2 linked regions of the Nothobranchius furzeri genome follow. The protein of the gene in region 2 purifies or fractionates together with the protein of the main gene of each other region. This does not show direct contact. Links are inferred from orthologs where the notes say so. Each region holds a gene or a part of one and is shown on either strand. Other genes may lie near its edges.

Region 1 (15,303 bases), on a different chromosome or scaffold from region 2:
ACTTAAGACGTGCAAAACTCACCCGGCATCTTCTTCACCTTTGCTGGCGTCGATTTGGCCGCCATCGGAGCCTCCATTTTGCGAGTCAGTCCCCGCACCTTGTCCGCAGTCAAGCTCGGCGCCGCCATCGTCCCCCTCGTCAGTGTGGCCGGCTCCGTTAAAATCATCGTCGACTTCATGGCCGTTCTCCGATGTTTCCATGTACTGTTGCTCCGCCTCAGACATTTTTCACTAATGCACCTAAAACCACACAGAAGAATTACCTAGTTTTTTGCACAATAAGCGCCGGTGTTTCCACAAAGCCTCGCCACTGACGTGGTGCCACTGCGTGCGTACCCCACCATTTTGGCCGGCGAAGCCGCGTACGCACGTAGCAGTACTTGGCCGCTTCCTCACAAAACCCGTTAACTAGACGCAATCTATCGTACACTTCTGCTGAAGGGCAGCGATTAGCAACGCTGTTGCCCTCTGTGTCACACAGATAAACCAAGGCTGGACTATGCAACTAAAATTCGCAGTTACGTAAGCTACAGACAAGAGGCCGTAACGGCACGAAATGTGGCCTCGTGACGCGGTTAACACATTTGTTCAACGTTGACCTGAACAAATATGGAGGGGCAACACAATACCGGACTGTCTAAGCGTCAGTCTTCTAAAACACGATCAAGCTATAAAAATATAACAGTACTTACTGGTCGCACAACCAGAGAGCTCTCTTCAAGATGGATTCTCCCACACGACGCCAACTCGTGGTTGGTTTTTCAGCACCGGTAGGGTGGGGGAGACAGTTCTGCCAAGAGGCAACGTGATTGGTTAAGGCAAGCTGTCAATCGCAGCATCACCCAATCACAATGCGTCAATGTCTCTTTCGTCCAAGTCGTTCACGCCTTCAGAACACAGGAAGGAACTCGATGAACCTTTTTTCAGCTGCTAAAACTTGTGTATTCGGTGGAGATAGCCACGCTGTCGATCAAAAAAATAAATCCTACAAACTGTCAGCTTTGACCCACAATTATTGCTTTTCACTCAGACTCCGGTGGGGTTTACTCCAGAGCAGCAGCACAATCTGTTTTGATGAATAAAATGGCCAAAACAGTGTTTAACGAACATGGTGTCTGTTTTAACCACGTAACCTCTTGCATTCAATTATTTGATGGGACATTTTTCACTGATTTAATCAATGATGCAAGATGAACTCATTGGAGAATAAGGCCTGAGATAATTATTATATAACAGAAAAATAAAACATGTCAACTGCTGAAAATCCTGTTTATTATTGTACACCAACAGACTGAAGAGTTTGTCAAAAGCAAAACCACTGAACCGACTTCCCTCCTTGTTTCTCCATCAGTCTTCCACAGTGTCCTTGTCGCATATCTGAGGCTGGTTTGGATTGTTTTTCAGAAGCCAGTCAGCTAGCCAGATCTGTTGAATACAAATATGCAGGACAGAAATCAACATGTTAACAATAACCCCTTCAACAGCAGATGAATAATATTTAATATCTTTCCTCACACTGAGCATCAGTCCTTACACAGGGGTTCAGAGGCTTTTCCTTGCAGAGTTCAGTGAGTCCCTTCAGCAGGGCTGGATTTACATACTGGTTCATGTATTCTTCTGTTTCACATCTTGAAGGAACATGTTCAGCTATAGCTACAGAAAGAGAGGATAAGGGATAGATCACAGTCAATAGTAATTACCTTTAAGAATAATCGCATGGGTGAGAGAGGAACATACAGTTTGGGAACATGAATTTGATCTCCCTCTCAGCTTCGTCACACGAGTCGCTGCCGTGGAGGGCATTTTTCAGCTCAGACGTTCCATATTTTGCTCTGAGGCTAAAGGCAGAATAGAAACTAAAGATTTACAGCTCAGACCAGTAGCACATTCACAAATGAACTCAAGGTGAGCACATAATATTCGGAAAAATGGCAGTGGGTTTTGTAGGTACAAAAGAAATATATCAGGGGAAACGGTATGCAAAAATTGTCGGTATGTCTTAATAAATTGGGATGTAAGTAGAAACCTGCCTCAAGAGGACATTTAAATCCTGAGTCTTTGTAAAAAGACAAACATTGATTTTACTACATAAATGCTTTTTTTCTACTGGCAGAAATATCTGCGATTTACCATTCTGGGTGGGTTTCTCTGGCTTTGGTAGCATTGGCAGGCCCTATAAGGGACTTCCAGTGGGCGATAGCATTGTCACGAGCCAGCATCAAGGCAACAATGGGACCAGAGCTCATGAAGGCCGTCAAACTGGGGAACATGAGTGTCTGGTCTGCGTAGAAGTCGTGGCATTGCTCTGGACTCAGCTGCAGCCTTCTCTTCTGCCACAGAAAACAGAGCAGTGGAGTGAGTGAACCACTGTGGTGGAAAATAGAATATAACTTCAAAAATATTAAGCTAGTTCAGACAGCTCAGATTTGTTTAAATGGACAAGTGACACTGTGAAGCTCTCACAGACATTATACTTCAACTTTTCATGAATCTGTCTAAAGCAGTTCTGTACAGTACTGCAATATCTGACAAAAATAGAACCAAGGGGAGCAGTAATTTCAATTGTAAACTGTAACAATGTTTTAGAATAGAATACACTTTATTAATCCCACTATGGGGAAATTAACTTTCTACAGCAGCGGCGCATATGCTTAGAAAAGGAAGAAGAAGAAGATCACAGGTAAATACACAAAGGTATTATTGTTAGCTTCAACAACTAAAAACCACAAATAAAAAAAGAAAAACTTGGATTCCAGAACTATGCAGCACAAGGGACACAGACATGCTGATGTACATCAGGTATTGCACAAGTATTGAACTCATACTAAATATTGCACAGATGTTATTGTGTAACAGGATAATGCCAGTACCAGTTGATCTCAGGAGTTTTACACTCTTACTGCTGAGGGGATGAATAACCTACAGCAGCTTTCTGTTTTACATCTTGAATGTCTCAGTCTGCCTCTGAAGGAGCTGTCCATGGCCTCCACAGTGGAATGCAATAGGTGGGAGGGGTTTTCCAAAATGGGAGGTCCTTTTGCCCACCATCCTCCATTCACATGTCTCCTCAACTGAAACTAGTTGGCAGCCCAGAAGCGAGCTTCCAGTCTTGGTCAGAGCTGCCTGCACCCCAACGAAGGTGGTTACATTCACACCGGTCCACAAAGTCCATTGTGACTGACCTGTACTCCAGGTCATTCCCCTCAGACACACAGCCGACAGTGGTTGAGTCATCTGAGAACTTCTGGAGGTGACAGTTGCTGGTTTTGTAGCTGAAGTCCAAGGTATAGAAGGTGAATAGAAAGGGTGAGAGCACCATACCCTGTGGAGCTCCAGTACTGCACACAAACACATCAGACATATAGTTGTGCAGCCTCACGTACTGTAGCCAGTTGGTGATAGTTGATGGTCCATGCAGTCAGATGTTCAACCACTCCTGCACCCCTCATCTTCTGCTGCAGTAGACACGGCTGTATGGTGTTAAAAGCACTTGAGATTGCTTTTTTGCATTTTGAGGTGAGCCAGCACCATCGACATATACCCAGTGCTGCAGGTAGAGGAGGGTGTCTTCCACCCCCATGTATATTATTTGGTGTGTAGCTGCACACATTACAGTTCACTGTTTTAGGTCTTCCACTAACTTGTCTATGCAAATTACTGACAGGTCATGGTCAAGAGTGAATGTGAAATTTCAGTCAAAAAATATAAGTAATCTGTAGTATTTAACATCCACACATTCCTAGATCAAATGGTTGACATGTTTCAGTTAACAGCAATAAGTATCTTTGAAGTGCAATTAGTAAAAAAAAAAAAAAAAAAAAAAAAAAGAAAGAAAAAAGATGTACAGAAACACCATGCAGACATTCACCTTTAAACGTTTAAAAGGTGTCTTAATAGGGTTTCCAGTAAAATTACAGCCCGTTACTGCCCTCTACTGAAAAAACTACGTAAGAGCCACACGGCCTCAAAAAGCGGTCACCTTTTGAAGCCATGAAGCGTAATATTTGAAACCAGATCGTAGGATGATCAATGGAAATCAGCGTTTATCGGGCATCTAAATAAATCTATTTTAATAAAAATATCTTCCTTCCACAAATATTGAAAACGCGCCTCTAGAAAGTAGGTGACTTCCACTCACCTGAAGTATACTGAAGCCAGATTTGACGATAACATTCTCAATCTCATCTGCCAGCTGAAACGCGTCTGGCTTAATGACGGCCAGCGTTTTCTCTACGATGACACGGTGATATGGCCTTTTACGATCCATCTTCATCTGAACGCTAAATGGCCACGAAATACGGCTCACGCAAAACTTGACTATGTAGCAGTAAACTAAACAAGGAACTCCAACCTGGAGCAGCACTCTGGGCTCGTTCTGTCGACTAGTTGCTAGGATACAATTACGGCGTCTGAAGTAGGACAATCCATGCGAATTGCAAACGTCAGTTGAACTTTCCAAATTACAAGCCCCAGATTTAGAAAACCACCAGTTAAATCAAAATTTTAATGACCGGTTGTCCCATGGTTTTTTTTTTGTGTAATTTTAATTCTGTATTCCATTTCAGATTAGCAGCCAAGATTTAATGTACAAGCAGTTATTTGAACAGTGTTAAAAAATAGAAATGTTTCAGACTTTAAATCCCATTTCACTTAATAAAAACTGGTCCAAGCTGATAGGGATGTTTCCATCCTCACAGCAGAATCAGTTCAATCTCCGCTCAAGTGAACTTTTGCAATTTGTTGTTCCTAAGGTTCGCAGAGCTGGGAAAGTCGGCTTTTAGCTTTGCTGCTCCATCAACATGGAATTCACTACAAAAAGATCTAAAAATCAAGGATTTGGTTTCCTTGAGTGGATTTGACTGATTAGGTCACTGGAATCCAGACCATCAGTGTGTTTGTTTTAATTGAGTTTATGTGGAAATGTATTTAAATGTGAATGTATTAATTTTGTAACTTGTGCTGCTGCTCTGTCCGTCTTGGCCAGGTCTCCCTTGCAAAAGAGATCTTGTATCTCAATGGGACCAACCTGGTTAAATAAAGGCAAAATAAGTAAAATAAATAAATACAGAAACTTAGTTTTCCCTAATTTTTCAATCATTTTTTCACGTTACTGTTGATCATTGTTTCAGCAGATTTTTTTAAATCGATGTGATCGATGTTCCCTTTTGATAAAAAACAATTTAACAGTCAAAATTAAATACAAGATCAAAACATTTTATTTTCAAAGAGTCTCTTTATTCAAAGCTGCATTAGCAAGGCTGTTCTTATCGTGTTCCAATGGTGACCTGCCACACTCTGATCAGGTTGTCAGTGTAGCCAGCAAACAAGGTCTGTTGAGTAAAAGAGGAACAGAAGTTAGCATCCATAATAGCACGCTTTTCAAAAAGGCTCAATCATGTGAGTGGTTCTCTGGTGCCCCTCATATTTGCAGGACTGTCAGCAGAATTAATCAGAGTTAAAAGTGAATGGGTATAATCACAGGGGTCACAACAGAAATCTGCATTTAAAGGTCCTCCAGAGAGTGTCGTACCTGTCCATCAGCAGACCACGCCAGGGAAGTACACTGTGGCGGTTCTGCCTTGCTGTTCGTGCTGATCACTTCCTGTTTCAGTTCATCCACAATGATCTTGCCCTCCAGATCCTGAATGAGGTAAAAGAGAACCAGAGTGATGGTATCTCTAACCAAGGTAATAAGTAACATACCTGAATTTATTGACATTCTCTATTGGGTCGGAGCTCAGAAACAGCCTCTGATATCATCAAACAATACAGCTAACATTTTAAATTTCATCACAGTCCTCCTTGATAACATGTTTAGCTTAACATCTTACCCAGATCTTGATGCTGGGGCCGGTGGCGGCACAGAGCCAATAACGGTTGGGGCTGAAACAAAGGGCGTTGATGGTGTCACCACTATCCAGGGTGTACAGGTGCTTGCCTTCATTCAGGTCCCACAGCATGGCCTGGCCATCCTGAACACCAACAGAAAACATTCTTCAGTGATTACATCGCAGCTCTTAACACGATACCCAACCCCACAAACGGGGATCGTGACAAGTTCAAGTCGTGCTCAGAAACAGCCTCTATTGTCATCATTTTAAAACAGATGTATGATTAATTTTCCATCATTGCAAAAACTTGTCCGTTCACTTAAAGATTCTAAAAAAGAACATTTTACAGAAATCTACAATTACTGGAAGCAGATGTTACCTTTCCACCAGATGCACACAGAGAGCCATCAGGGGAGACGGTCACTGTGTTCAAATAGCCAGTGTGACCAATGTGGTTGGTCTTCAGCTTGCAGTTGGCCAGGTTCCACACCTGAGAGGCATCACACCCGAGACAGAACAAACATCAACATCCAACATGGAAGCTAATCATAAAAAAGGTTGTCTTACGCAAGTAGTCAGCTAATAAATGCAAACTAAGTTAAACCATCTAACCAGGACCAAACATTAGCAAATTACTAGTAAACCATACCTTGACCACCTTGTCCCAGCCACAGGAGACAATGATGGGGTTGCTGCTGTTGGGGGAGAAGCGAACACAAGACACCCACTCAGAATGGCCTTCATCCTGCAAAATCAAGTTTGAACAGTTTAAAGTTCAGCTCATCCCAACAATGGCTCACTTTAGCTCATGTAACCACCGAGACTTATTCCATGATCCTGACACACTACACACTTAAAACCATCATACAGATTTAGTCCACAATGCTCCAGCTGATGGCTGAGCTGTGTGCTCTACCTCAGAAAATGTAAAACTAGTTAAAAAAAAAAAAAAAAGCTTGAACAAAAACTAAATGAAAACCAAAGAAGGAACAGCTCTAAGCAGCAGCAGCAGCAGCATTAAGTGACAGCTCACCTGAATGGTGTACTTGCAGACTCCAAGAGTGTTCCACAGCTTGATGGTCTTGTCTCGGGAGCCAGATACAATCTGACGGTTATCAGCAGAGAAAGCCACACTCAAAACATCCTTTGTGTGTCCAACAAACTGACGGGTGGTGGTGCCACTAGAAAAACACAAGATTAAGACGTCCGATTAGAATAAAGCTATATTAAGTTTACAGTTTAAAATGCCTGCCCTCCTCTACTAATTATGGCCTCTACAAGCTACAGTCATTTAAGGAGTTAAAACAGTTTTTTTCCCCACTTGTATTCAAACAAATCACTTTAGTACACAAACCTTAATGCCGATCAATGACAATTTTTTTTAGGTTCAGTTTATATCGGGTTCCAGCACTTTAGCCAGAATCAAATTCCAGCTCCTCACTTAGATGATTAAAACTGTTCAAACATGGACTGTAGTTTTATTCCTGTATAAACCCCAAACCCATTTATTTAGATCTACTGTTCTCTTAAGTCACAACTAAGGAGTGTATAAAGTGATGAAGGTGTAGTAAGGACAATAACACTGTGGAACAACAGTGTCGGGTACAAGAAACTGGGAGAATTTATTTTATAGGATCTCTGACAAACATTGTAATTGTATATAACTGCATTTTTAAATGTCTGCTGTTTATTATTTAGTGCGAGATTACTGAAGTTCTATCTGTGGTACAAAACACTAGTATAAAAAGCTGTTGCACGGTCATGTACACGCAAATGAAGTTTGTTCACCAAGATTGGGTTTACACATGGTGTAGCTTAACTAGATGTCATTTCCCAACTGTTTTATGGCTTAAGTTATGTTCCCTGGCAACTTGGTATTTAGAGGTCATAAGTGCTGAAATGTTTGTAGCTCTAGTAACAAATACGCATTAGCGCGGACTGTGTGTTAACATCGGTTCAAACACATTTTCATTTATAGAACAAAGGTGACAAATCATATCTTTAAAACTATCCAGGATGTTTGTTACAACTTAAATTTAGAAAGGACATACTTCCAGCTAATACAAACATGCAAGTCTTTACCAACTTACTTATTTCTAAAAAGAAAAGCATTAACTAGTTTAAACTGTGTTCCACATAGATGCTTAGATGATGCAGATCAAGGGTCAGCAACTTTTTTCCTTGAGGGGTACCATCCTGCAAGTTCCACACGTTTCCTGCTCTAAAGGACCCAGATTAACTGATTTCATCACAACCTTCCTAAGTTGACTTCTCTAGATGCTCTCACACATTTAAATATGTTGGGAGCAGGTAAACGGGTAAAGAGATATATTTACAGGACAGCGGATCTGATGTAGAAGCTTTCTTCCTAGCTGTACTTACGTGGTGAGGTCCCACAGTCGGAGGGAGCCGTCCCAGGCGCCTGAGAGAGCAAACTGTCCATCCGAGGAGATGACAACATCACTTACAAAGTGAGAGTGGCCCCTCAGAGAGCGCTGAGGGATCCCATAGTTGGTCTCGTCACGAGTCAGCTTCCACATGATGATGGACTTGTCTGAAAGTTTAACACATAAGGTTCAGGACTCAGGAGTATTGCCTAAAGCAAAGAGCAGGTAGGTAGCATTAGCATGCGAAGCTAGCACTTAAGTTAATATCAAGTTAATATCACATTGCAGCGCTTGGTTCAAGGCCTTATAACCTCATGTCAAGTAGTCTGATGTTTAACTGGATGAATCAGTGTCGGTGCTATGTTGGTGTAAACCCAGGAGTGAAACACAGTAGATCCAGCTAATGACGCTAGAAAGCACAAGTTTAACTACACCAGGTTTCCTCCACTTCTGAAGTCGCAAATGTTCACTATAAGCGATTAATGAGCCTTTAGGCTGTTGTAATCACATTTCAGCGGTCTTCTGCCACTTCCGCAAAAATCGTATTTTTGTAACATTACCAAAGAGTCACTGCTAGCTTACAAAGCTAGCTGTAGCCATGTTGGCGGCTGCCGGCGGGGGAAGCCTCACCTCGGGACGCCGACAGAATCATGTCGGGATACTGAGGGGTAGTGGCGATCTGGGTGACCCATCCACTGTGGCCCTTCAGGGTCCCCCTCACTGTCATCTGCTCGGTCATTTTGACGAGGTTCGGTGGTGCCTTTTACAAGGATGGATTCGGATATTTCTCAGGTTCGTAAAAACCTAGGTCCTCATCGCATCTAGGCACGGAGGAAAAGGAAGTACAGACCCGGATGCAAAAACTAAGAGGGGTGAAGGGCTCGCAGAGCATTCTGGGATATGTTTTTTTCCCCAAGTCATCCAAGTGTGCTACAAGAAAAGACTGAAGGGGACTGTTTAGAAACATGATAAAACATTTCACTTACAACACATCACCATTATATATAAGTAATACACACTGATTTGGTTATTGGTAACAGCTGTGCACATCCCTGATATGTTTCTGTCTGAATGAATAAAGGAAATTAAGCTCTTACGAAACATAGCACCAGTAAAATAAAATGTCTGTGATGGACACAAATTTTCTGATTTTAGAATATTCTATATTTTACAAACGTCCGTATTTTTTATACTTTATGTTACACACACACACACACACACACACACACACACACACACACACACACACACACACACACACACACACACACACACACACACACGAGCTTTAATCCCATAATATTTGTTTCTTTTCATGTGAAAGGCGGCTTTAAAGTTGACGCCTTGATATATTTTATACCAGGGATGTCCAAACTTTCCTAGATAAGAGCCAAAATCAGCAAGTTAACTGTCCTTGTAGGCCACAACATATACATTTTTTAAATGCTAAAAATATTTATTCTTGCATTTGTACTCCCTAAAATTTGTCAAAATGGACTATTAAGTTTGAACATACAATGTTGGGGGGGGGGGGGGGGGGGACGACAGTGACATAAATTGCTCCAAGGGCGACAAATGAGGGCCACATACATGCCTGCTCTATACTTGTGTACTGATTAACAAACAATCTTTAAAATTTGAATTTTCATTTCATTTCACTTTATTTGTAAAGTCTCTTGTATTTATTTATTTATTTATTTATTGGTTCTTTTTTAAACACAGAGAAGAAAACTTTTCTTTCCTGTGTTTAAAAGAGAACCAAAAAAAAAATACAAGTTAAAAAGACCCAGAATGAATGCACAGAAGATTGTAATGTCCCTTCCACAATCTCATCAAACACCCAAGGTGCTGGACAATACAGCAGGCAACAAGTACAAATAAGACAATATAAAACAACCATAAAAACATATAACCTAATAAAAAAAGGCCAATTACAGACAAGACAATGATGCCACGCTACAAAATAATTAATGTTTTATCTCACATGTTGAACAACATTTGGAATCCTTCAATTTCCAGGCTTTCTACTGGTATGTTTTATGAATAATCTGATATTTCTATATGTAAACTACTGCACAGCTACACTATTTCAACACTGTTACATTAGGCTGAAGTGAGAATATTGGTAACAGTGTTGTGTGCTTAGAAAAAAATTGTATGGTAAGCCTCCTCTCACTGTAAGACTTGATCATCCTAGCAGATGACGTTTTACTTTCTAAAACATGTCATTTTCAAACTTCTTTAGTCATTTGCTTTATTTTACTAAAATAAAAGTTGAAACAGCTGACTAGAGCTACGGCCACAGAGTAGTATGTGCCTGTTGAGTCTTTTGGTCTGAGGCACCAGATACCAAGTGAAGTGTGGTTCAGGTGGTGGAGGAAGAAAATACCTGCTGGAAGGAGTTTGATGAGGCCATGGAGGAGTTTCATACTTTGAGAAGATTCTGGTCCACCATTTGATGTCTCAGGAGGGTGACACAGCTGCACCACCAACACTGTTTATGGTGGGGATGGTGTACTGCTGACCTCCACTTGGGATGTTGTGAGTCAGTGGAAAGAGTACTTTAAATACCTCCTCAATTCCACTGGCACATCTTCCATTTAGGAAGTGAATTCTGGGGGTTTGGGCTATCAAGTCTCTAGTGCTGAGGCAACCAAAGTGGTTAAGAGACTCCTTAGTGGTAGGGCTCCAGTGGTGGGTGAGATTCGCCTGGAGTTCCTCAAGGCGCTGGATGTTGTGGGACTGTGTTGGTTGATGCGGCACAGTAAATATTGTGGATACTGGGGGCAGTTCCACTGGATTGACAGACTGGGGTGATGATCCCCCTATTTATAAAGAGGTACTGGATGGTGTGCTCCAACCACAGGGGGAAAACACTCCTGAGCTTAGCAGGCAAAGTCTCTTCAAAGGATCCAGAGACAAAGGTCCCCTGGATAATCAATCAGATTTAGGAGGAAAATGTGATATTCTCCTGGTCTGTGGAACACTAGACCAGCTCTATACCCTTAGCAGGGTCATAGAGGGTGCACAGGAGTTCATCCAACCAATCTACGTGTTTTGTAGACTTGTAGACAGGGCTTAATTTGAGCCAGATCTTGCTGGAACAAGATCCGGGAACTATTTTATTTTGAAAGGCAACTGTCTGCTAGGATTCAGCAACTCACGTGACAAACTTGTGCTATACGCAACATTCGAAATATGGGTGAGCTAGAGGGAGCTCCTGGAAGCCCTCAACTTCTGAAGCAGGGGAACTGTAAAGATGCAAAAACTACCATTGTTAAAAGAGATGTGTGTTAACTTAGAAAATGTGGGCGCAATTTTAATTACTAGTCAATTGCTGGCCATTGTGGATTTCACTTCCCATTTCCGCCAGTATCTCCTGGGGCAGCCCTTTAACCCTCTCAGGCTCAAAATAAGTTTTGATAAAAGGACGAACAACTAAGTCCTTCAGGGGTACTTCTAAGTTAAAAAATGCTCATGAAATATGTATGTGGAGCATCAGGTAGGTAGGTTTTAACATTGCAAATCAGCAACGCCTGCCTCCACAGGGTTAAGGTGTGCACAGACCATGGAAGCCTGCATTGGCTTACAGAGATGAAAGAGCCCGAAGGACAGTTAGCTCGTTGGCTTGAGAAGCTTGCCAAATATGACTTTGAGATCGTTCATCACCCGGGTCGGGTGCACACAAATGCTGATAGTCTTTCCAGAAGACCATGCCACCTGTCTAGCCTATGCAAACTTCCGAACCCATCTACACATTTGGCATTCCAGTGCAGCTTGGATTCTGATGGGAGATTTCTGTTGCTGAGTCCAGTGGGGGTGGAAGAGCGACCGGCGGGCTGACACAACAGTCTGTCCAGTGGGGGTAAGTCAAAGCACCCCTACACCCAACACAAATATTCTAGAGTCTAGACCAAAACACTTCCACACATACAGACACAATACATCAGAACATTCCCACTGATTCACGTGTTGTAAAGCAGACTGAGAAGGTACATGTGTTCCTTTGTTTCATGGTTGGACCATGGGGGACTTGAGCCAGGCCCAGGATGTTGATGCAGATATTGCATCCATTCGTGCCTGGATGGAGGCCAGTAATGAGCGCCCCCCGTGGACTGCTGTTTCACTTTGCAGCCCAGCCACTAAAATTTATCGGACTCTGCAGTAAGTTGGGCTCATTCCCATGAGTTGGACTCTGTCCAAAGGCTACCCTTTGTCACAGATTCTGCTCCTAACATCTATGGACTGGATTTCTAGGCACAGCCAAGGTGTTGAGGGGATCTGTTTTGGTGGCCCAAGGATCAGTTCTCTGCATTTTATAGATAATGTGTTCCTGTTGGCTTCATCAGACCGTGATCTCGGCCACAGGTGAGTTTGAAGCAGCCGGAATGAGAATCCCACCTGGAAATCATAGACCATGGTCTTGAGTCAGAAAAGGGTAGAATGCCTTCTCCTAATGAGTGAGGGAAAATGTAGTGGGCGATCAATAGGATTGGTGTTGCATCTAAAGTGATGTGGGCATTGTAGCGGTTTCTTATGCCGAAGTGAGAGCTCAGCCAATTCCATCTTTGGTTCTTTTCTGAACACTGAGTATTAGAAATGTTATTTACCTTCTTGGTGACAAGTTTGGGCTACATCTGTAGCCTTCTTCAGAGCGTCACCAATGATGAAAACGGCTACAGATGTAGCCTAAACCTGTCTGTAAAAAGGTAAATAACAAATATCTATCACTGTGTTTGGAAAAGAACAAAATAATGGAATTAGATAAACCTACACAGACAGAACTCTGCTCAAGCTGCCCTCACGACCAAAAAGGAAAAGACACATTAGCATGATAAAATGAAACCATAACACTTTAAAGTTTATTTTTGTCTGCATGTTTACGGACCAGATTTTTTGTTTTACTTATTTCACATATATATTTATATTTGGACAAGTAATTACAAAAATAGCTTAAATCTTTTACAACCAATGAACACAACCAAAAGTAAAAACATTCACACAAAGTTTAGCTAATACTGTTGTATTAAGATCTGTTACAATGTGAAACTCCAATCAGACACTGTGCCATGAACGTACTTCAATAAACCAACATTTTAAAAAGGAGCTGATAGAATCTGTAAAAGAAATAAACACATATGAAGATATGCAACAGATAACTACCGTCTGACACTGAAATACAGCAAAACTTGATCTTTAAATCGTCTTCAGTTATACACAAGTGTTCAAATAAAATGTTTCACCCATCGTGTACGTTTTTGAATTTGTTGATTTCAGCTTAATATCTGAAACACTCTTTTCTAATAAACAAATCCTCAATAAACTTAAATTAAAACAAGACTGATACAGAAATTATTTAGCAAGATGAAATAATAAAAAACATAGAATCCAATAAAACAGCAGAAATTAGAAATCTGCAGCATGACTGAAGCAAATCCATGAGGCTCCATCAGAGTAACACTGAATAAGGAAAGCAGCAGGGCCTTTATTTAAAAATCTACCTAATCTTCCATCAATATCCCTGTGGATCCTGACATAAACGTTTATCAGTACCAACCAGAAAGTGCACTTGTTGCAGATTTTTATATAAAATTCTGCATCTGTGCGTGCCTTTTCTAAGTGGTTTCATAAAATAGCTTTGAAATTAAAGAAGCACCAACAGATTTTCCATCCGAGAGAAATGTGTTGCAACACCCAGGTAAAAAAACAAAGGCAAAGACTTTTCTGAGAGCAGTTACAAAGGTTTGTATAAAATGCAAAGCAAATGACAAGTTTAAGGCACGCTGCTTAGTGAAAATGAATTATGAACTCATAAAAACACACGTTTCAATCAAATTTCATGTTAGTTTCAAAACAAATTGAAGTCAGCAGCAACAAGTTCTACTGTTGTCCAAAACAGGCTGGAAGCAGAGATCAAACACACCTTCCTTTGATGTTAAAACACTAAATAATCAGTCAAAATGCATCAGATGAGGGTGATTATTTCTCAAGGCTACAATGATTGATCAGTAATACTGCAAATGGTTCCTTCAGACCTGCCCTTTAACATTCATCGTCTGCTTATATTTAAGGAAAATTTCAGGAATGCAAACTGGAACTGGAGAAAAATGGAAAAGAATAAAGCAATATGTTTTGTTTTGTTCATTGTGGTGAGAGTCACACAATCTGCATGCTAAACAACACGGGGATGATCATGCATTAATAAAGTCATACAAAACATCATTGTGACACGTCCAACATATCTCCACGGCAAACTCCTTCCTTATGTGCCAGAGACTCCCAAATAACTCAAATCTGTAAGAGCAACATCATCAGCAACAGATCCCGCCTCCCCTCTGAGGTGTGTGTGGAGCTCTGTCGCCCCCTCCTGGACCGATTCCACAACAGACGATCTGAGTGTGACGCAGAGGCATCAAGATAGCAAGCTCTGTTTCAGAAAAAAAGCCAGTATGCTCTTTAAGGTTTCCCATTTCCAGTCCTGTGCTGTCCTCTTCCTCCGACAGGCTCCACCCCCTTCTCAAGGCTGAGAGAGACGCTTGCGTTTGAGCTTCTGCCTCGCCATTTCCTCCTTTTTATAGAAAACAGAGGACAAGAGAGCACTGACAACACACACCTCCAGCTGTTCAAAACAAACCAACAGAAGTCCATTCGTCCAACCATCCATCCATCGCTGAGAGCGGCTGAGTGCACACACATCACACGTCTCCCAGCCGTGGTTACAACAAGTTTGTTAGTGAGGCACTCTTCTAACCCCAGCACGTCCGCCTGGACTGTCCTTCAAACCCAAAAGTCCCACTGCCAGTTCACGGCTGCATTCACAACACCAAATTGTGAGTTAAAAAAAGAGTCGGCTCCGAAAAATGTCCTTACATTCTCAATATATTATAAAATAGGACTTTATAAAAGGGGATGTTGCTGGTGTGTATTCACTTGCAAAATATACCATATCAATATGTACAGTCTCCATGCTGCTGGTTAGTCATCACTGCAAAGAGAGAATAGTGATGACTGGTTAGTCTCCAAGTAGCTCACACACACACACACACACACACACACACACACACACACACACACACACACACACA
Region 2 (14,900 bases):
CTGGAGGATCTCTAAAGCTACACATCGTGTCCTGTTGGAGAAAGTCTAGACCTAAAGACCTCAGGAGAACGTCTAAGCCGTGTAGGCCTCCCTGGGTCAGGGGTTTGGACTTTCCCGGTCTGATCTTGTAAACTCAGAGATCCCTGCTGCCTGTCGGGTGTTTCAGGTGCGTGGTGTACCTGCTGGATGTCCTGGTGGAGAGTATCTGGGTTTTCGTTCAGCTCTAGCCGAGCCTTCTCTGTGGTATCCGAGCCCAGACTGGTGTGAACGTGGTTCATCATGGAGTCTTGGTCCAATATTAGTCCGAACATCCAGAACGAGTACCCTCAGGTTGGTTTCTCCAGTCTGGAATCGGTTGGTAGTTTAAAGCCGATGGACCGTGTCTCTGTCTGTGGTGTCTGGAACAATCGTAGCTGCTGTTGAAAACGTGGAGACAATCAGGATGCGGAGAAGGTTTGGAGCAGCTCATGAACCAACAATCATCTCTGCTGTCTGCTCAGGAGGCCACGGCGGGGTAGAAAACTCGGAGTTCTGCTGTTTTAGAAAAAACCTGACTTTCACTGATCTCCTAAATCACCAGCTGGTTCAGTCCTGTGGGCGCTGCAGGTGGACTCACATCCTGTTTGTCCGGGTTCCTCCTGCTGACACAGCCTCCTCCTCCTGCCGCCTCCTGTCATGGCTCCCTCAGCCTTTAGGAGACGGGATCTTCTAACCTCAGAGCCTCAGGTGGAGCCTGGGTTGTCTCTTCAGCCCGTTCTCTGAGGGACAGTGCCGTGTCTGGCGAGGCTCTTTGGTCCGACATGAAGCTCCTCCTCAGCCTGAAAGACAGAAGAACGTGTCGGCATCACTCTGGTGAGGGCTTTATCTACAGCAGGGCTATTCAGTTCTGGTCCTGGAGGTCCTGATTTCAATCAGCAGGTGATGAACAGCTTCTACAGAACCTGATGAGCTGCCGAACAGCTGAATCAAGCCTGTTGAGTCAGAGAAACCACTAAAACATGCTGGATACCACACCTCCAGGACCGGAATTGAATACCTCTGATCTACAGTGACGAGAACATGGCTCAGGTCTGCTCTGGGTGTACTGGTCCATCTAGGTCGGGGGTGGGGGGCTGATTCAGCCTCTGAGATCAGGAGATGCTCCTCCTCATCAGGAGTCAGCTGAGGAGGTCCTATCTCCTGGTCTGGAGGTTTCTGGTCTTCTCCCATTGGAATGTGCCCCAAAACATCTCAATAGGAAAAGATCTGGGAATAGGCTGGATCCTCCCAGAAGAACTGGAATGTCTGGATTCTCCTGGTTCTGATCGCTTCATGGTCTGACCCTGGATGAGTGGAAGAGGGTGGATGGATGAATGGGTGAGTGAGTGAGTGAGTGAGTGAGTGAGTGAGTGAGTGAGTGAGTGAGTGAGTGAGTGAGTGAGTGAGTGATGGATGCTGTATATTTCTGAGCCTATCTAGAACATCAGCTGCTGAAGCAAACTGGTCTCAGATATTATGGGATGTTCTCTAGTCTCTGGTCTTCATGTCCAACCGTGTTATCTCATCTGTCCGTTGGTGTAAAGCTAACGGTCTGCTGTAAATGAGAATGAGTTCTCCTCCTGGTTAAAGAAATAAAAGTTCAACTGTCAGGTTAACACACACACACACACACACTCACACACACACACTCACACACACACTCCTCACATCCTGCAGCCAGACGTCCCACCGGGCTGAACTCACACACCCCGACAGAACCGAACCGGACTAAGCAGCCGTTTAATATCATGTCCGATAATGAATGTGACCGGGGGTGGGGGGGTGGGGGGGGGGGGGAACCTGCTCGGTGGTTGAATCCCGGCTGTCCTGCTCGGCCCAACGAACCTCCGGTAGTGGTGCTGATGCAGGAGGAGGCGATCTGCATCCCGCGGGAAAACCCCTCAGCTCTCCAGAACAGGACGGTTGTAATCCTGCAGGAGGCTCGTCCTTGGGAGGAGGAGGCGCGATTTCACTTTGTGCTTCGGGAGAAGACGTCAGGATGCTCCGATAGGATCATGTTTAGCAAGTAAGTCACAGCTTCCGCTCTGGACTTTCAAAATAAGACTGAAGATGGCCTTGTTTATTCACAGAGCAGCTTAGTCAGACTACAGTCAGAATGAGTCACTATAAACGTGAAATCAGACATCTGGACTAGAAAACACACCTGTTACAGTCACACCCAGGTGCCAGGATGTTGTTGGTCCTCTTGGTTCTGGTTTCAGTTGGAGGTGAGGAAACCCTCTCCTGTCATCTAACACATTCTATGTAGGCTAAAGGCTCTTTTGTTGTAACGCCTGGAGCTGCACGGTGGTGCAGGTGATGGCACTGCTGCCCTACAGAAGTAGGGTTGCAGGTTTGATTCCACAGCCACTGCCTTGCTGTAGACCATTGGCATGTTCTCCCTGTGCCTTTGTCTAACTGCTGACTCAAATGTTTGTCTTTGTGTCCCTGTGATGGACTGGAGACCTGTCCAGGTATCTCCCGTCTCAACCCTAGTGACTGATGGTGACTGACACCAGCTCCCTGTTACCACGTGAGCAGGAAGCAGTTCGCTAACGGACAGATTTAACGTTGATTTCAGGTCAAGGGGAAGGCGATATAGTCAAGTTGATCCTAAATATTTAATGTTTCACCCTAAAAGTAACACAAACATGTTTATTTTTACTTGTATTTGCAAAGTAACACTTTCATTTATCATCTTTTTCTTTTCTTTTTTTTCATTAAATCTTGTGCTTTTATTTTGAAATCCGCACCACCGGTTTCCGCTTTGATCCAGGAAAACTTCACACACCTGCACGCGCCCGCTGGTGACAGCGTTGATATGCGCGCTCGCGAACCAACCTGGACAGCTTGTGGCGAACACGCGCATTTACAGCTCGGTGTGTGCCTACGAGCACGCGCATAGGTGATGTAAGTCATATTCTTTCCTTTAGTTGAAGCAAATGTTTTATTATATTTGTTACTGGTCGGTTTAAACGAGTCCAGCTGTTTTCATGTGATTCAGCTGACTGCTGCCATGTTTATTGTGACCATAAATTAGTTTGTCTGTAGAATTTAATCATCAGAGCTTTTTATTACATTTGTCTTAAAAATGAGTTTAATGTGAATAAACTTTATTCACCACGCAGGTTTTATTGTTTTATATCAGAATTAAACTGTTTAAACATTTATGATGGGAGTTTTTATTTTATTTCAAAGATGATCTCAGTGATTCACCGCTGCGCAGTGGTTAGAGCTGTTGCCTTGCAGCAAGAAGGTCCTGGGTTCGATTCCCAGCCTAGGATCTTTCTGCATGGAGTTAGCATGTTCTCCCTGTGCATGCGTGGGTTCTCTCCGGGTACTCCGGCTTCCTCCCACAGTCCAAAAACATGACTGTTAGGTTGATTGGTCTGTCTAAATTGTCCTTAGGTGTGTGTGGGTGTCATCGACATAAATATACTGGACATCTCCTTTCCATAGGCTCCATCACGTTTTTGAGGCTAAATGGGAGGTGGCCACCACCGCCATTTTGACCGTGTCACAGGTTCCGTCAAGCCCAGACAATTCCACAAAAGGGAAGAGAGGTGGAGCGCACCACACTTAGGGAATCCCTGCCCTATTACATTTAAATGTCATGGTTAAACAGTACATGTTAAAATCTAAGCTCAGCTCGGCAGTGACCTAAAATACATAAATATAATTTTACTTACCGAAAAAAATGAAGTGGAGACTCCTTGGACGCTCTATTAGTGCAATTAATGCCACAGCAAGTCATTTTGTCCAACAATTGCACAAATAATATCCAAACAAGAATACACAAACACAGAGACTCAGAATCCCAGAACAGTTTCCAGGCCAGACCGAGGCTCTACTGAGGCCTTTCCACGGAGCTAGCTCTGTGGTCACGTGGGTCTGATGCTCATTAATTATACAGAATTTTAGGCTTTTAATACACTTAAACAGAAGAGTGAGAAAAACATTCACCCCCCTCAGAGTTGTCATGAGTGTAAACTAGATCATTTAAACCTAAAACATGTTCTGGTACCAGGCTGTAAACATGTTTATTTCTGCTGTGAAATTGGTATTTTTAACATGGGAGTCAATGAGGATTTGCTCGCTTCTGACACCAGCCCCTAGTGGACGAGGGTGGAACTGCAATTTATTCATTTCCGGGTTTGCCTCAATGTGGGTGCTTGGTGTGTGCATGGTTGTTCGTCCTGTGTGTCTCTGCGTTGCCCTGCGATGGACTGGCTCTCTGTCCAGGGTGTACCCCACCTGATTGCCCGTTGACTGCTGGAGATAGGCACCAGCCCCCCCGCGACCCTGCGTGGACAAGCGGGTTCAGAAGATGGATGGATGGATCTCCGTGATTCATTCTTTCTTTATTAACGCTTTCATAATGAGTTAAAGCATCAGTGCCTCCTGAGACCAGATTTTGGATTCAAGGCACAGTTGAAGTAAAAGCATTCTTATGAAAATTTAATTTGTATTTATTGTAAAAAATTTCTGTTGACATGAGAAAAAATATATAAAAACTCAGTGTTATTAATTAATAGGGAGCCTAAGCCCCGCCCATCTACTTCCGGACCACGGGCCCCCCGACGAACGAGGAGATGAGGCCCTGTCCACACGTAGCCGGGGATCTGCCAAAACGTAGATATTTTCTACGTTTTGGCCTGTCATCCACACGAAAACGGAGTTTTTTAAAAACTCCGGCCAAAGTGAAGATCTGCGTTTTCTCCGTTTTGGGTGTCTGCGTGTGGACGGACAAAACCGGAGTTTTAAGGTCCGCAACGTCACTTTCCGCGACATAAAAATGCTGACATCACGCGTGCGACCTGTGTTTACACTAGCCGACAGCATGGACGCCCTCAGAGCTGCGCTCGCTTTATCAATTGTCCAAGCGCTTTCTACTTGTTTGTTTTTGCAAGCGGAATTACTGATCCTTGCGGAAGACCACAGACGAAGGACGAGGTTAAGAACGGGGGAAGTACTGCCGCCTACAGGTCTGGCATGTCCTTAACAACGTATTTATCCGGGTACGTGTGGACAGAGTTTCTTTTAAACGAGGTGGTGTGGATGCAAGTTTTTGGAGGGGCGGATATTCATTTTTTTAGAAACCCGGCTACGTGTGGACTAGGCCTGAGTCAACAGGGCTAAAAACGCTGTTTTCTAATTCCGCCTGTTTTGTTCCATGGATTTCACACATGATGTCCGTAAATTTTAAACACATTTTGATACCATAACGCACTTATTTTCTGGCGAGGGGGACGTTATTTTAAGTTTTGTGTGAAAATAAGTTCAGGACTACAAATGCGCTTCACCAAAGCGACGTCATCGATCTAGACAGAGAAGAGAGAGAGAAAATGGCGGTGAATTCAGGGAACTTCAAATCTTTAATCCATAACAAATCTGGCCATGTGGTAAGCAGCTAGCTAGGGGAGATGAGACTCTGTGGTGACGTCACATATGCGACGTGCCGACGATTTCTGATTTGTAGTCCGTGTTCGAGATGAGCCAGTTCTGATTTGAGTTCAGATTCGATCACCGGTGATCGGCGCACTGCAGTGCATGCCAGTAAGATTTGTGTCAGACTTAACACCGACTTGCTCTGACGTCATGGCTACGTAGGCAACGATAATCTAGTGAGATCAAGGCGGCTGCAGATTTTGGAGCAAGGCGCTGCAGTTGCTCTCCAACACCTAGGGCATGATGGGAAACTCCTGGCTCTCAACTGATCTAAGATCTGATTGGCTCTCATTTTGATCCAAACATCCGGTGGCAGAACTCTAAATGTTAGTTGGTCATAAATCATGTTACGTTGATAACTATATAGGCCATGAAGAGAATATATAAAGTATATAAACACTGTTTACATACATCTCTGTGCTCTCGAACACGGACAGGGCGACTCCGGGAGGATGTGATGTAAAGTGTTTTATTTTGAAGGCAGGTTGGAGTCTTGTTGGGCTGTGACGTGTTTCCGGGTGTTTAAAGGTTCACGCTGTCCTGTGAGACGCCTCTACGTCGTCTTCAACTTTCATCCGTTTACAAACGTTTGTTACCGACTTGAGAACTTTATTTTCATTTTGCTGACGTTTACATTCTAGCTTCCGGTTCGGCTCTTCTCGTCTCGTTTTGTTTCCACAAAGTTACACCAGCGTTAGCTTTAGCGCTAGCTAGCCGACAGACCGGAGTCCCAGCCATGGATCAGCCAGGAGTCACTGCGGAGGCGCGGAAGGTCGGTACCGGTTGTGTCTGGCCCGGTTTTACACGAACGTGTCGCTTAGCCCGATTGGACCTGAGACGGAAGGTCAGAGCTGACCAGGCTGAACGTGTATGAGTTAGAAGTAAACGTGCTTAACTAGCTTAGCTCGGAGGGCAGATTAGAGATAAACGGCCTTCAGTTTGGTCACGTGGGAGTCATGTGGCCACAGATGTGTCCAGCTGTTTCGGTGTTGGAGTTATTTCAACATCCAATTAGAAAACGTTTAAATGTAACTTTAATATTCTGGTGTTTTATTTGAGCCTCTGCGTCCGGATGACGTCAGCTGTTTGAGGCGACACGCCCCTCTCAGACATGCGAGGACATGTCCCTCCAGCCTGGCTACGGCACTACTGTTATCTAACCGCACCAGCACCCCTCCCTCTGGCTCAGGGGTTGGGTAACTCTGGAAGTAGATTTACTGCAAAGTAATCAGATTACATCAGCAGTTACTTGTTATAAACGCCGAGGTTATCACTAACCAGACAGAACCATCTGAGCTGAAGCATGAAACTGACTCTGTTTCTCCAGAACCCGTGGGGTTGTGTGGGCCCGACGGCCCCGGCCTGCCCCCTGACGGAGGTGATGAGCGAACAGCTGGCCACACAGCTGGAGGAAGACAACAGCAGCTTCTCTGCTCTCACCGGGTGAGTCACCTGGAGCACGCCGTTCTCCTGTCCTGCAGCTACGATTCAGACTGTTGGGTCTGACAGCTGGTTCTGCTTTAGCCCAGAGGTGGACCTGCTGCTGGAGGACGGTCCCGACACCACCAGTGACCTGATGCTGGCCCAGATGCTGCAGATGCAGTTTGACCGAGAGTTTGATGATCAGCTCCGTCGGGAGGAGAGGAAGTTCAACGGAGACAGTAAAGGTAGGGTCGGGTCGGGCCCAGAACCGCTGGTCGAGCCTAGACGAGCCCAGCAGTTCTGGGTCAGAGGACCGTTCCCGGTTGGACTCTCTTCCTAACCAGGTTGTGTCTCTGTCCAGTGTCCATCTCCTTTGAGAACTATCGGATGGTCCATCCCTATGAGGACAGCGACAGCTCGGAGGACGAGGTGGACTGGCAGGACACGAGACACGACCCGTACCGAGCCGGTGAGGTTCCTGCATCAGGTCTAGAGGAGCCGTCTGAGACGTTTCTGTAATGTTTGTGTTCCTGATGATCCAGACAAACCTCAGACCACGCCCAGGAGGGGCTTCAGCAGGAAGGGGAAGAACATCACCACCAAACATGACGAGGTGGCCTGTGGACGCAAGAACACGGCCCGGATGGACAATGTAAGTCTCCGTCTGGATGGTGGTTCTGGAAGTCCTCTGGGTGTTCTGATTCCTGCTTTCAGGAAGTCACAACAACTGGATGTTGTTCTGTCTGTCCCCCGTCCTCCTGTCCTGCAGTTTGCTCCAGAGGTCCAGGTGGGAGATGGTCTGGGGATGGACCTGAAGCTGTCCAACCAGGTCTTCAACTCTCTGAAGCAGCACTGCTACAGCGAGCAGAGACGCAGCGCTCGGCTCCATGAGAAGAAGGAGCACTCCACCGCCGTACGTGTCCCACAGTCCGGTCCATGGACCGTCCTGCTGTCTGTCCCAACGTGATCTCGTGTGTCTGGACAGGAACAAGCCGTGGACCCGAGGACCCGTCTGCTGATGTACAAGATGGTGAACGCCGGCGTGCTGGAGAACATCAACGGCTGCATCAGCACCGGGAAGGAGTCGGTGGTGTTCCACGCCGATGGGGGCAGGTGAGCTGGGAGGAGCTGAACCTGCTGGGAACAGGATCTGAGGGGTTCTGGTTCACGTTTGAGGTGTGTGTGTCCCGTCCAGGCTGGAGGAGGAGCCCGTACCAGGTGAGGTGGTCCTCAAGGTGTTTAAGACCACGCTGAACGAGTTTAAGAACAGGGACCGCTACATCAAAGACGATTACCGCTTCAAAGACCGTTTCAGCAAACTGAACCCCAGGAAGGTGATCCGGCTGTGGGCGGAGAAGGAGATGCACAACCTGTCCAGGTACAGCCCAGGTGCTCTGGTCTGCCAGTCACAGCTGCAGCAGGTGAAACGTCTCTGTTCACGTCGCCAGGATGAAGAAAGCTGGACTTCCGGTTCCAGATGTGGTTCTGCTGAAGAAACACATCCTGGTGATGTCGTTCATCGGGAAGGACCACGTTCCGGCTCCGAAGCTGAAGGACGTGACGCTGAGCTCCGAGGACATGAAAGCCGCTTACTACCAGGTGTTACAGGTGTGTGTCTCACAGACAGGTGTGTGTGTGTTTGTAGCTGATGTGGAGTTGTACCAGGTAACATCCAGGTGTGTGTGTGTGTGTGTGTCTGCAGCTGATGCAGCAGCTGTATCAGGAATGTCACCTGGTCCACGCTGACCTCAGTGAATACAACATGCTGTGGTACCAGGAGAAGGTGATGATGATGATGATGATGATGACCTTCAGCCTGTAACCTTCATCCACTCATCTTTCTCTGTCCTGCTCTGATTGGCTGAAGGTGTGGCTGATAGACGTGAGTCAGTCCGTGGAGCCGACTCATCCTCACGGGCTGGAGTTCCTCTTCAGAGACTGCAGGAACGTTTCCACGGTAACGCCCTCCATAGTTCGGCTTCGATCCAGATGAAAGTAAAACATCCAGATGTTTGGTGTGGGACATCAGCTGAGTCTGTCCCGCTGGTGTCCAGGTAGACCCCAGGTATCAGGTGCCTCGTGTTTGTGTTTCAGTTCTTCCAGAAGCGAGGCGTGGGCGACGTGATGAGCGTCTACGAGCTTTTCAACGCCGTGACGGGGCTGAGTGTCCCGGTTGGAGCTGAGGACGAGGCGGATTTCATGTCGGAGGTAAAAGAGGGTCCTGGCGGGCGTTGAGCCGTGGTGGATACGAGGTGTTTGAATCATTCTGCTCTGTGACAGATCGTGGCTCTGGAGAAGCGGAACGAGGATCACATCCAGAAACGAGGAAAGAAATCGTTCCCGGTGACCTCTGAGGATGGAGGTCCTCCTCTAAAACCGGACACTGACGACTAACGCCGCCCTCGTCACCATCTGCTGTGTTCTGGAGACGAGGAGGAGGCTTTGGTTCCTCCACACCTGTCCGCTAACCCCACCCTCCTCCAACTGAGGGCAGAGTGGAACACCTCCTTCAGGCTGTAGGAGGAGAAGACTCCCTGATCAGGATGGTGGGTCCAGCTGGGACGTCATCATGTCCTCCTGCTTTACTGCTGCGTGTTTGTGTGAAGCTGCGAGTCAGGAAGTTTGTTCAGATTAATAAAATAATCTAAGTCAGAGGTGTGTGTGTGTGTGTGTGTGTGTGTGTGTGTGTGTGTGTGTGTGTGTGTGTGTGTGTGTGTGTGTGTGTGTGTGTGTCTGAGAGACCCTGCAGTGGTGTTTCTTCGGGGCGTAGAGGATCTTCTGTTAGAGGAAAATCTGATGTTTTTATTTTGATTCAATAAAACTTAAACACGACTTTTGTGTTTTGAAGTTTGTAAGCAAGCACGTGATGAATGTTGGTCACATGACTTGTCACAAGAACGCCACCGAACAGCCTAAACCAAAAACAGGTCTCTTCTCCAGCTGAACATGGTTTGGAAACGAGTTCACATGAAGGTGCGTCAAAGCGCGATACGCACGTTTAGTTCTGTGTGCTGCTACACAAGTTTCACCACAGTTGAAACGGTCTCTTATTGTGAAGGAGAAGGAAGGCTTGTAGTTAGATTTCCGGTTTCCGGTCAAACATCAGGAGCAGAACCGGCCAGGTGTGTGAGGATGGCCAACGAGCATTACCTGGAGCTGAAGGAGAACCCGGTCCAGTTCGAACACGCGTCCAGCGTCAATAACGTCTTCTTCGATGAAGCTAATAAACAGGTGAGCTAACAGTTAGCATCGGCTAAGCTAACCTGCTACAGTCGCGCGCCGGTAACCCCTAACCTCAACCCTGTAGGTGTTCGCGGTGCGTTCAGGTGGAGCCACAGGTGTGGTGGTCAAAGGGCCAGATGACAAGAGCAGTGTTGCCTTCAGGTACATCAGGAATCACCGTTTAGTTTAAGCTAGCCGCGTGTTCACCTGTAGACTCAGGTGAAAGACCTGCCTAACCCTGCTCTGGCTGCCGCTTTCCTCCTCAGGATGGATGACAAAGGAGAGGTGAAGTGCATCAAGTTCTCCATCGGGAACAAGATCCTGGCGGTTCAGAGGACCTCCAAGTCTGTGGTGAGTTCAGGAGCGTGTGGGATGTTTTTATTCTGACTTCCCTTTAAGGTTCTGGTTCTGGTTGTGTTTACAGGATTTCATCAACTTCATTCCTGACTACCCACACATGGAGTTCACTCAGGAGTGTAAGGTCCGTCAGCCTTTGGGTCAAACATCTCCGTTCCCTCCTGTTCCCTCAGTAACCCTCTGTGTCGCTCTGCAGACGAAGAACGCCAACGTTCTGGGGTTCTGTTGGACCAGCTGGAACGAGATCGTCTTCATAACAGACCAGGGCGTTGAGTTTTATCAGGTAGACCGGTGGCGCGCCAGACGCTTCTGCAGAGTCAAACTGTTGTTTAGATGTGGAGCAGCAGGAAATGTTCTGAAATGTGGGTTTCAGGTGTTTCCAGACAAACGCAGCCTGAAGCTGCAGAAGAGTCAGAACATCAACGTGAACTGGTACCAGTACTGTCCAGAGACGGCCGTCCTCCTGCTGTCCACTACTGTCCAGGGAAACGTCTTGCAGCCGCTGGCCTTCAGGGTGAGTCCCACGTCCTGTGTGTGTGTGTGTGTGTGTGTGTGTGTGTGTGTGTGTGTGTTTTCATAGTGAATATCCATCTTTCCCAGAACGGAACCATCTCCAAGATGTCTAAGTTTGAGATCGAACTGCCGGTCATCCCCAAACCCGCCAAACTCAGCCTGTCTGAGCGAGATGTCGCCATAGCAACCATGTAATGAGAGTAAATAATAGTTCCACTTCATGTGGATTGGGGATAACTCTGTGTGTGTGTGTGTGTGTGTGTGTGTGTAGCTACGGCCAGCTGTACGTCATGTATCTGAAGCATCACTCCAGGACGCCCAACAGCCCTGGTGCAGAGGTGGTTCTGTATCACCTACCGAGGTAACGACACACACTGGCCCGTCCGGACCGGTTCTGGTTGAGCTAACAACCAACCAGTTCCTAAATGAGCAGAAGAAAAAGATCAAAGGATTTCTTTTCCTTTGTTCTGAACCTGCAGAAGGAGTCACTGAGGGTCGGTTCTCACATGAAACTGTTTTATGTTTGGGACGTTACTAAACTAAAACGGTTGTTGGGAATGTTCTGGACTTCCTGCTGAGTCTGGTGGACGTGCTCTTGTGTCGCTGGACAGATGTTCCCTGTAGGGATGTTCCGTACATCTTTTTTTACTTCCAGTCCTTCAGTGCTGTCCGATACGATATCAGCACAAACATACGTGCCTGTACCTGCTCCGTAGAGTGGAACGTACACAAGGCTCGGTGCAGGGATTTACTGGCACTGAAAACAAGCCAGCGTCAGTAAGTGTAAAAACCGACCAGTGTTCCCTTAACCTTTGGTTGCATGAATGTGAACAGCTGAGTTTAGAGAGATGAGGAAACGCAGACCAACCGCTACAAGTCGAGTGAGAAAATCCTCAGTGATCCTGCTTCCAACGCACGATGGGGTTGGACGTGTTAGTCTGGTTCTGTTGCACCGCAGGAAACTTGTGCTCCCAGCCAAGCTGTCTGTCACACTCTTAACAAATACACAGCCACATGGGGCTAGCACACACTGTTCTGATCACCTGGACTTTGGATCTGGGAGCTGATGGGTAGAACTGCTGGAATGGAGTTTAAAGCGGAACGTCCTGCTGACATCGGAGATTTTTGATGCGTTCCGATAAAATCTGGTGTTTTTGGGCCGATGTTCGTACGGGAACGGGACATCCCTAGTTCCTGGAGCAGGTGTTAACAGTTGGAACTTGAGAGAAATGTGGGACGAGTTGGAGACCAGTCGGAGAATTAAATGAGACTCCGTTAGAAGACGGTCTAAATTGCAGGACGAGCTGATTGTGATGACATCATCAGTGATTGTAAACCTGCAGAGGTTTTGTGTCTCCAAACCGAATCTGATGTAGATCTGCATCGTTTTAGTTCTACGTACCTTTTCGTTTCAGTGAAGGCGCTAAACCTCCCCAGGTTCAGACGCTGGTTTGGGTAAACTCTCGGGTTAAAGGTTCGGTGGCGTTAGGCGTGGACATGCAGCACATGTCTGAGAACTAGGGTTCCCATCCCACATGTGGACCACAGGTTCTGCTGTGTTCTGCAGGGAAGGCCCGTGTAAGAAGAGTCATGTGTTGAAGCTGAACACAACGGGGAAGTTTGCTCTGAACATCGTGGACAACCTGGTTGTTGTTCATCACCAGAGTTCACAGGTCAGAACCAGAGGTTCCTTTCTTCTTACTGAGCAACAGTTTACGTGCAACACTGGGTGTTTCTCAACGTCGAGGCGCCTTGCTTACAAGGACACGTCCTTCCTTGGTAGAAGAAACAATTAAATGGAACATTCTTACCTCAGGTGACCATGGCAGTCGTGTCACATGAGGTAACGTTTTATTTTATACGTATAAGTTTCAGTATAAATGTCTAACGAGCCTTTTTAATTGTGTATAATTGGTTAAATTAAGTATGTAAGCGAGTTGGGACCTGCTAGCCACCGAAGCTGCTACTACTGAGCAACTAGCCAACCACAGCTAACTGCTTTGGATTGTAGGTATCAACCCGATAGCTACATTTAGTTGACGTACATTTAAACGGGAACTTTGCCCCTGAAGTCGCTGCCGGCGTCTGATCCTTTTAAAATGCCGCGCTGTTCTGTGAAAGTTTGGGCCAAGGCCAGGCTACAAGGCTTCTCCCATATATCCTTGCTCAGCTAGCTAAACGGCTAACAAACAGAGAACAGACGCTTGGCACAAATACTGGGACACGCCTTGGCGGTTCCTGATGACGTATCTCCTTGACAACCGGGGTGGGACCAAGACATCCAGGTGAGGTTCTTGACATTGAGAAACACCCTTTGTCTTCTGTGCTGTCCGATAAAACTAAACTACACCTGATTACATCACTTCCTGTTTGTCCGTAAGACATCACTGATCTTCGATATCAAGCTGAAGGAACCGGACTGTGCCGTCAACACTCACCAGCCTGTCCTACCAGCCCGGTCCATTCACCCATACAGGGTATCTCTGTCAGGTACACACCTGCTCCTGGGGGGGTTGGGTGTGGTGCGTTTGTTTCTCACTCTGATGGTTTGTGTCCCTGCAGGTCCGGTTGTGGTTCCATCTCAGCCTCCGGTGCCATGTCAGCTTTGTATCCTCCCTACGCTTTACACAGAAATTTCTGCAGTGGCATCCCTCAAGGCAGTGTCCTCAGTCTTCCCCGGTTCTGTTTTGTCTTGCCTTAGCAGTGAGTTTATTCTGATTCATGCTTGTTTTCCTGACCTTTTGAACCCAAAGATTCTTCATCCTGGAGTGTCTTCCAGCCTGACATCATCATCAGCGCCAGTGAAGGTGTGTTAAACACGAACAAATCACTAGATGTTTTAAAGAGTCGAGTCTCATCAGAGGACTAGTGTCTAGTCGGTCTAAGATTGAGTTCAGAGTCCATCAGATCCAGTTACTGATCACAACGAGCAGTAATCCCTCTGGGATTAATAAAGTTTTATTGAATTGAATTTAGCTGTGGTTAATGTCTGCTCATCTGTCTCAGGTTACCTGTGGTACCTCCAGGTGAAGCTGGCTCCCATGGTCCACCTGTTGGAGGACAAAGGGAAGCTGATGGACTTCCTTTTACGTCGACGGGACTGCAAGTTGGTCATCCTGTCGGTGTGTTCACAAAGTAGGTCTTCTTGTTCTTGATGTTTTTTACGTTAGCGCCACTGCTAGCATGCTCAGAAACCGCTGTCAGGTGCAGAAGAGCTAAAACAGAACCTCCCGCCGTTCTGGAGTTACAAATGTCGGCGCTGCAACGTTAGATAGGGCTGCAGCGTGGTGCAATTGTTGGCACTGTTGCCTCGCAGCAAGAAGGTTGCAGGTTGAAAACTCGGCTGCAGCCTTTCTATGTGGAGTTGAACGTTCTCCTCGTGCATGCGTGGGTTTCCTCCGGGTACTCTGGTATCCCCACAGATCACAACATGCCCTATAGGTACGGTGTTCTGGATAAAAGCGTCTACCTAATAGATAAACATAGATCACACCGGAGACCTCCCAGAGACACGAGTCTTTAGTGATCATCTCACTGTAGGACTCGTGTCGTACCTTTAATGAACAGTTTATCTGAAACCGTGTGGAGAAGAAATATCTAAGATGTGTAGCGGGGACTGATCTTTATTTACACCCTTCTCTATGTGTTGGTCATCTGCTGTTCACTCATTCGCTGCCAGCGCTTTTCAGCGTCTTTACTGGTTTTTTTTAAGAGTGACAGAACGTTGCGCGCTAGGATGATGTCGACACCAAAACAAAGCGGAGACTCACCTCTTACATCAGGAAGAATCCGCGTGTTTCCGAGCGTTATCCGTTCTTTCATAATTGTTGAATCGTGATCGGCAGAAGCTTTTCCGGTTCGCGCCTCACTTTTTTTACGATCTCCTAACACAAGGATGTTCTGCTTCCTGATCACGTGAC

The links.
Region 1: the proteins of riok3 (region 2) and rack1 purify together in Homo sapiens (affinity purification with mass spectrometry; 3 studies listed by BioGRID and IntAct, counting the BioPlex papers as one, with this or other methods). This does not show direct contact. The link is inferred for Nothobranchius furzeri from reciprocal best matches to the Homo sapiens genes RIOK3 and RACK1.

What each region holds. Positions count from the first base shown.
Region 1 is NC_091741.1:97,226,229-97,241,531, forward strand, and holds rack1 (small ribosomal subunit protein RACK1), read right to left. Parts: upstream 9,070-15,303; 5' UTR 8,958-9,069; coding exon 8,849-8,957; intron 8,386-8,848; coding exon 8,214-8,385; intron 7,013-8,213; coding exon 6,865-7,012; intron 6,577-6,864; coding exon 6,481-6,576; intron 6,322-6,480; coding exon 6,211-6,321; intron 5,973-6,210; coding exon 5,832-5,972; intron 5,642-5,831; coding exon 5,531-5,641; intron 5,331-5,530; coding exon 5,265-5,330; 3' UTR 5,214-5,264; downstream 1-5,213. Other genes in the region: hnrnpaba (heterogeneous nuclear ribonucleoprotein A/Ba), read right to left, coding at 23-225; nme5 (nucleoside diphosphate kinase homolog 5), read right to left, coding at 1,348-1,425, 1,535-1,653, 1,738-1,838, 2,131-2,330, 4,139-4,273; col23a1a (collagen alpha-1(XXIII) chain), read right to left, coding at 14,736-14,786. UniProt on the Homo sapiens protein: Scaffolding protein involved in the recruitment, assembly and/or regulation of a variety of signaling molecules. Interacts with a wide variety of proteins and plays a role in many cellular processes.
Region 2 is NC_091747.1:64,130,020-64,144,919, reverse strand, and holds riok3 (serine/threonine-protein kinase RIO3), read left to right. Parts: upstream 1-5,979; 5' UTR 5,980-6,202; coding exon 6,203-6,238; intron 6,239-6,571; exon of another isoform or gene 6,572-6,690; intron 6,691-6,793; coding exon 6,794-6,909; intron 6,910-6,990; coding exon 6,991-7,133; intron 7,134-7,249; coding exon 7,250-7,357; intron 7,358-7,430; coding exon 7,431-7,540; intron 7,541-7,657; coding exon 7,658-7,801; intron 7,802-7,873; coding exon 7,874-8,001; intron 8,002-8,083; coding exon 8,084-8,266; intron 8,267-8,336; coding exon 8,337-8,496; intron 8,497-8,590; coding exon 8,591-8,671; intron 8,672-8,755; coding exon 8,756-8,845; intron 8,846-8,982; coding exon 8,983-9,096; intron 9,097-9,168; coding exon 9,169-9,282; 3' UTR 9,283-9,542; downstream 9,543-14,900. Other genes in the region: clavesin-1, read right to left, coding at 180-311.